Oryzias latipes: one gene and its partner. The protein of the gene in region 1 interacts with the protein of each later gene in a pairwise test. Links are inferred from orthologs where the notes say so. Each region holds a gene or a part of one and is shown on either strand. Other genes may lie near its edges.

The links. The genes of interacting proteins can lie anywhere in the genome.
Region 2: the proteins of srrm4 (region 1) and zrsr2 interact in binary tests that used the Homo sapiens proteins (3 or more experiments, as listed by UniProt). The link is inferred for Oryzias latipes from reciprocal best matches to the Homo sapiens genes SRRM4 and ZRSR2.

What each region holds. Positions count from the first base shown.
Region 1 is NC_019867.2:3,762,337-3,765,589, reverse strand, and holds part of srrm4 (serine/arginine repetitive matrix protein 4), read right to left. Parts: intron 614-3,253; coding exon 425-613; intron 347-424; coding exon 248-346; intron 1-247. UniProt on the Homo sapiens protein: Splicing factor specifically required for neural cell differentiation.
Region 2 is NC_019861.2:13,881,274-13,885,539, forward strand, and holds the start of zrsr2 (U2 small nuclear ribonucleoprotein auxiliary factor 35 kDa subunit-related protein 2), read left to right. Parts: upstream 1-1,357; 5' UTR 1,358-1,601; coding exon 1,602-1,645; intron 1,646-1,851; coding exon 1,852-1,931; intron 1,932-2,039; coding exon 2,040-2,118; intron 2,119-2,199; coding exon 2,200-2,308; intron 2,309-2,636; coding exon 2,637-2,723; intron 2,724-3,145; coding exon 3,146-3,184; intron 3,185-3,365; coding exon 3,366-3,496; intron 3,497-3,619; coding exon 3,620-3,833; intron 3,834-4,042; coding exon 4,043-4,098; intron 4,099-4,187; coding exon 4,188-4,266. Other genes in the region: tm6sf1 (transmembrane 6 superfamily member 1), read left to right, coding at 209-400. UniProt on the Homo sapiens protein: Pre-mRNA-binding protein required for splicing of both U2- and U12-type introns. Selectively interacts with the 3'-splice site of U2- and U12-type pre-mRNAs and promotes different steps in U2 and U12 intron splicing.

The DNA of each region.
Region 1 (3,253 bases):
GCACCCAGCAGACTAGAGGCCCCACCTCCAAGTACTCAAGAGGAGCTCAGGCCAGGGCCCAACCGGTGTTTGGGTGTTTGGCGGACCAAAGTTGCTCACGTGGGTCTCAGTGGGGGCTACAGACAACCAAACACATCAAACTCTAACCAATTGGTACCACTCCATCCACCAACACATATCCACCACCAGGAAACCCGTACCCAGGAGGGGAGAGACGGACAGAAAGGAATTAGTAGCTGAAGTTCACCTGTCATCACTGTGTCTGGAGTAGCTTCCTCTGGAGCTCAGGCTGCTCATGCTGCCTCTTCGCCTGACATCTGAGTGACTGGGGGATCGTGAGTACGAGCTGTGAAGACATAAAGTACATTGGTGCTGCAGGAGACGTAGATTTGAGCTCATTTGCTACACATCTTGTCAGATCTACCTGCGAGAAGACAACGAGGAGCTTCTGGAATAGCGTCCCAAGTATTTGGAACTCCCTGAGGATCTGCTCCTGCTGCTGGAAGAGCGACCTTTTGTCCGAGACGAACCCCTCCTCCTCCTCCTCGATTCACAGCTGGTTGACTCAGATGATCCGACAACCTCTACGTGACACCCCAAGGTTATCTGCTCCCTGCACACACGCACAGAAATTGCTTTGAGTGACAGGACTTTAAAAACATAGCAACAGAAATCATCATTCCATCATAAATCCATATTTTAATTTCTGTGATTTCTTGACGTAAAGTGGTACATTCCATCAGATAGTCTGTCTTTATCTGCAGAGATTGATTTATTTTTTAGTTAGGCCATACTTTAGCCGCTACAAGGCAAAATCCTCTCACAGTCACCTTCAACAAGGGCGGCATCACACTGTGCGACAGTTCTCCTCAGGTGACTTTATACAAAGTACAATTGAAGTCTGTAAATTCGCCCTTTCCACACTTCTCTCCCCATGACCTGGTTGGAAAACTTCATGGGACAGAGGAGACTGGAAGAATTTATATGGAAGGACAAAGCAAAAACATTGCCGGTGGGACGGTCAGAGAAACCCTGCTGAACTGTGTGATGACCCCTCCTCCAACCTCAATTATCAAGTCGCCAAAGTTGCTTTTTAGTGAAGTGGTTTTATGTGGTCCAGTGAACTCACACACACACATAGCCAGTGTTTCTCTATTCCTTTAACATTTTTTATACATTTTTGCCAATAGGCCAAAGCCTTTTAATAGGAGAATTCACAGGAGAATTTTCATAAATATGTAAATATAAATTCATATAAATGTACCAAATAAATATAATAAAACAGTAAATACGATCAAATGAAACTGAGGAGTTTATTGTTTCTACTTTTCAGGAGGAGGATTACAGCCTAAAAACATCTATATAAGTGAAACATGACTACTATTTAAGTATTTTAGAATTGAATTAGCATTTGAAATAGACCAATGTGTAAAATCAAAAACTCATTCAGCTAATTTAGCTTTAATGTTGGCATTTCCTAGTGATTTTGGTATTCCTTAGTTTGAAAAGCCTTTTCAGCATCAAGCCTCTGTAATAGAATTGTGTTAGATCATGTAGATAAAAATAAATTGTCAGTAAAGACATTTTTGGGGTTCTTTCCCATCCAAGCACCTAAATTTTGTATTCCGGCCAGAGTCAGAGATCCAGACCGTCTCGGTCCAACACAAGGCAGGTGGATTTAAATATTACAAAGTCAAAGGTTTGCTGTGCAGACTTCTCTCATAAAAGTAGGAACGACAGAGCAAAAAATAGACATGACAAATGAATCAGGAGGGAGAGCGAAGCAGAGACCAAGAGATGGAGGCAGATGGCTGCAGGCAGAGATGGGAAGAGGGGGCGGAGAGCAGGAGAAGCAGTCAGAGCTAAGAACCAGAAACGGGACAGTCCGAGTGGTTTATTGTACTTATTGTAAACAAATTATGTGATTTGTGCTTCTGTTTCTGTGAGCTACTTTGATGATGGGACTTCCTGGATAAGTTCTCACTTATCTATGCTGGAATCCCCAAATGTATTGTTACCCCTTTTTTTTTTTATTTTAGCTAATTTAATATGAATATGACCTGTTTAGTTCAGCTGTATAATTATCAATATTCAATTATATCCAGGCATCAGACAAAAAGACAACTGGAGAACTGCAGCCCGTTGGATCTGCACTGAATATAGTTCTTCAGAATTTTTTAAATCTTTACATTAGAATTGTACAAAGTTCTTCAGCTAATCTCTTATTTCCTTAATTTTTTTTGGCTCAATATTCATTTGTCGTAACTTTAATAATAACATCATTCAACATTATTCAGGTCAGTTAAACTCCATTTAAGCTTTTTCAGCAAACAGTTATTTATGCATGATCTGCAGTGATTAAAATTTGTTCTTGTTTACAAATGTGTTGGTCATACAGGCCAAATAACTAACACTTTAAAGAAGAGAATTAGCAGCTGAGCCCCTAATTTGACCCAGCTTGACATTCAAAGTCAACACCCTGCCGATTAATTCAGTAATTAATATCTATCCATTTTCTTCTGCTCATTGGGACCAGCTTCTGGGGCAGCAGTCTAACCGAAGATGCCCAGACTTCCCTCGCCCCAGCCACTTCCTCCAGCTCCTCTGGGGGGACCCGGAGGCGTTTCCAGGCCAGCCGAAAGACGGAGTCTCTCCAGTGTGTCCTGGGTCTTTCTCATGGTCTTAATTAGGTATCCTGTTTGTTTTTTAATGACAAATGCACTTTTATTTAGCAACATATTAACTTTGTTATTTTTAGTAGTAAGTTTGTATCATGGGCTGCTTAAGGTATGAGTGTTGCACGGACCAGGAAGCACTTTTAATTTCATTGTACCTGTGACAAATAAAGATCCATTCTATTCTCTATCCATCCATCCATCCATCCATCCATCCATCCATCCATCCATCCATCCATCCATCCATCTTCCTCCGCTTATCCGGGACTGGGTCGCAGGGGCAGCAGTCTAAGCAAAGATGCCCAGACTTCCCTTGCCCCGGGCACTTCCTCCAGCTCCTCTGGGGGGACCAGGAGGTGTTCTCAGGCCAGCCGAGAGACGTAGTCTCTCCAACGTGTCCTGGGTCTTCCCCGCGGCCTCCGTCCAGTGGGACATGCCCGGAACACCTCCCCAGGAAGGCGTTCAGGGGGCATTCAGACTAGATGCCCGAGCCACCTTAACTGGCTCCTTTTGATGTGTAGGAGAAGCGGTTCTACTCCGGGTTCTCTGCAGGTGACCGAGCTTCTCACCCTATCTCT
Region 2 (4,266 bases), on another chromosome or scaffold:
TTGTGCTTACTTTGAGGGGTTTGCGTTAAATTGATGCAAAAACCCTTGCATCCCTTTTCTTACAATATTTTTTAAATATTTTTTGTTAAGAAGAAATCGCCACACATCATAATGACATTTTGTTTAAAGACATTTCTTAACAGTGATTTCAGTTCAAGACAATATTGTGTTCGTTGATTATTGTCTGATTTTCTTTGTTCTTTTTCAGGCCCAGTTTTCTTACATTGGTGCATCTCTTCACACTCGGACTCCGTTCTCATACAGAGTGCCTGTTAGCAGCCAGCTTGTTTTCCTGCTGGTCAATTTATTGTACACTCTGGTGCCTCAAGCTCTTTGCTACCGGTGTTGCACCCAGCCAGAGTTCTTCCTCAGGCCGACAGCAGAAAAGAAAGAAGATTAAATAGAAAAACAGGGGGGCTAATAATATCAAAGATGCCTTACAAAAGTTTGGCTCAACTGTGTAAGAGGGGCTGGAAAAAATAAAAATAAAATTGTTTTTATGCTTCCCATATTGGGTCTTTAGGAAGTAAATAAGCTAAAACACATTTGTTTAGGCTTTTTTTTGTTTGAATTGTAATTTTTTGCTTTGTCTTTCTGATACATAAAGATAAAATCGTATCTGTGTCAATCTGCTTATTAATATCCAATGAAAGATGGTAAGAATACATGAGTAAAGTAAGTAAATATTTATTTCTATAGCAACTTTCACAAAAAAGAATCACAAATTGCTTCACAACCCCCCCCCCCCCCCCAATTAACTACAACATCTGACACGTATCACAGACTTAACATAGTAAAAGACAATAAAAACAAATTAAAACAATAAAAGACAAAATTAGATCAGCTAAAAGCTAACTAAAAACTAAGAGGCTGCCAGTACGCGCCTCTGGCCATCACCAGGAAATGTACATGCATTCACACACCAGTGGGGCCACGCTGGAGGCAGAGAGGAGGTGTCTTGCCCAAAGACACAGCGACACTTGGCTGGGGTGAGCGGGGATCAAACTGCCAACCCTTCAAACTTTGGCTCACCTGCTTAACCACCTGAGCCACTGCATCCCCAAAGTTAATATAAAAATAAAGTTTTCTTGTAAATAAGACACGTTAATAATAGTCTACTCTTTATTCAACCATATTTTTCATTCCCCTCAGACTTCTATTCTCTTTATGTGTTAATTTTGTCAATTAAAATGAGACATGTCTATTTATTTAAATTATCCACTGGGAATATGTGTGTGTAATTACAATACTGAAATTATGATTTAAAGAATCACTTGAAAGTCTTTGAAAAAAAGTGTGTTGCTGTGATTCATTCACACCATTGTTAGGAACCAAAGAAGAAGAAGACACTTCAAAAACGGAAGTACTTCCCTTCGACTTCCTGTTTTCAGCATAGAAGCTCTTTATTTAGCTAACTCTTTTTTTTCCGTTCTATTTTAAACAAACTACTGATTTCTTCTGAAACCCGTATCTGTCTCACTCTGCAAAATAAACAAAGACATACTGGATAAAAGAGTTTAGCCAAAAAATATAATAAAATTGACCGGTGTGTAAACTTCAAATGAGCTCAATAGTTAGCATACTAGCTATCGCTCGTTGAGATGGCAGCCTCCATTCCTGGTCCAATTTCTGCTCCAATTTTAAGGTTAGTAACATCTGGCGATTTTACGAATATACATCATTTTATTAGTATATAGTAGTATTTTCACTCGTTGATTGTAATCAACACAACTAAAGTTGTTGGCTAAGAGGATAAGTTATTCATTCATTCAGACTTGTCGTCATCTTTCGTGTTGTATTGAAAATGTACTGCAATGCGTTTCTGAAAGGCTTTTGTATTCTTCGCTACAGTCAGAAGCAACGCAAGGCTGCTCAGCGCAAAGAGAGGAGACGGAGGAAACGTCAAGCTGTTGCCCAAGCCAGAGAGTCCGGTAAGGGGATAGCTGTTCAGTGCTTTTGGGTTTGTTCAGGAAGTCACGTGGGGGGATTTTACCTGTATTGCCCCCCACCCTTACACATAATGATTTGTTTTATTACAGATGTCCAGGGTGAAGCTGAAGAAGAGTGTACAGTTGATGAGGAAAATGGGGAGGATACTGGCTTAACTGAGGAAGAAAGGTTTGTAGCTGACCTACAGTTACACCATCTGTGACCGAGAACATCTTCATCACTTGATTGTTAATGTGCTCTGTTTTATAGACTACAGTTGCATAAGGAATGGCTGGAAAGAGAGAGGCTGGCCCAGGAGGAGTTTAGGTTAAGGGTGGAGAGGGAAGAAACTGCACGCAAAAAAAAGGAAGAAGAAGAGGTCATTTATTTTCTATTCTTACTGATGTTTTAGGTACCATAATAGTAATAATGCACTGATAGAGCTCGCTGGCTTTGAACTAAGTGACCATTTAGTTCCAACAAAATGTTTTACATTCATTTGCCCACACATAGATTAGGAGACCAGATTTGTGGTTTATTGATTTTTAAAATAGGATGTTTAAAAATTACAAATCCATTGAAAACATTTCTTCAGGTTGTTAGGGTGATGCACTTTTCTCACACGCACTTCTATGGATGCTTAACAAATCCCTTTGTTTGAAAGTGTCATTCCAAATGAACCCGTGTGTCCTCGTGTTCGTGTACAGCGGATGATAAAGGAGGAATGGGAGGCCCAGCAGAAGAGAGAACAAGAGGAGAAGGAGCAGAAGCTTCAGGAGAGGCGGGACAGAGAGGTGAAACGGACTCCGGGAGGATAGAAACATAAAGAAATATATCCTCTTTTATCTACAGAGTGTTTATAGTGATCATGCAGAACTTTAAATAATCTGCACTATAAGATATGTTGAACTTTTTGCAAATTATTGTGTTATTTGTATTTTTCTGTTCCTTGACTAAGTGGCACAAGCATTTTTCTTGCTCCTTGACTAAGACACACTCAAAGAGAACACCTTCACCCCCCACAACAAGAACGTATCTTTTACTTTGTGTGAAAACAGTGGAAATGGAACAGAAGTCTGATACGAATAAATGTTAAACCCCAAATATTTTGGTGCCTGTCAGTCCATGTGAAGGGTCTTAACCCAGAATGACAGACATGCGGCAGTATGTTGACGTCTTCACATTTTCACCAGCCATGTCTTTACACCATTTGTAGGAAGCTGTTCAGAAAATGCTGGATGAAGCAGAAAATCAGGTAAAAAAAAACAAAACAAACACTTGGGATATTAAATAAAAAATAAATTTGACAGTTATGGATTTAAAACACTTTGTTTATGAAGTCTGCGTAAGTGTTTACATCATCATGTGCTATGTGCTACAATCATGTTTTAGGATGCCAGACTCTGTCATGTTTTCATGGTTTTGTTGCATTGCAGCTTGAACATAAAGGACCATGGATGAACCCTGAGGCTCCTGTGAACATGAACTTTGAGAATTATGGAACAGAGCGTGATGTTGCCAACTGTCCTTTCTTTCTGAAGACCGGAGCTTGTCGATTTGGAGAAAGGTGCTTTTCTTTTTTCCATTGCTAATATCATTTTTAAATGTACATCTTACTTCGAGGCAATTTTTCCCTATAAATTTGATCATATTTATCCCACTTTTTTTTTTTTTTTTTTTACGTGTGCAGATGTTCTCGGAAGCATGTCTACCCCACATCCAGCCCGACTCTCATGATCCGTGGCATGTTTATGACCTTTGGGATGGAGCAATTGCGGCGCGACGATTATGACATGGACGCTTGTTTAGAGCACAGTGAGGAGGACCTGCACGAGTCTTTCCTTGAGTTTTACCATGACGTTCTCCCTGAGTTTAAGAGTGTTGGCAAGGTGGTGCAGTTCAAGGTAAGATAGCCGTGTATGGCTGTGCTTTTTTTTTAAACCCTTTTTTATTTTTTTTGGAAATATTTTGGCTCCAGTGTATTATTTTGAAGCAGAACTTCCTTCTCAGTCGTGATACTTTAGCGACATCCTTCTATTTTGTCCTAAAATTAGTTTTTGCTGAAGAAAATACACTTTTAGTCGGTTTGACACTTTTTTTCTGTTCTTATCAGGTCTGCTGCAATTACGAACCACACCTGAAAGGCAATGTTTATATTCAGTTTGAGACGTAAGTTTACAACAAATCCATTATCATTAGACTTTAGATACTTAGGTGGATAAGTCTTTATTTGTGTGTCCTCTTGTTTTTCTAATCAGAGATGATCAGTGCAAGGAGGCGTTAATGAAGTTTAATGGGAGGTGGTACGCAGGCAGGCAGCTTCAGTGTGAAATATCT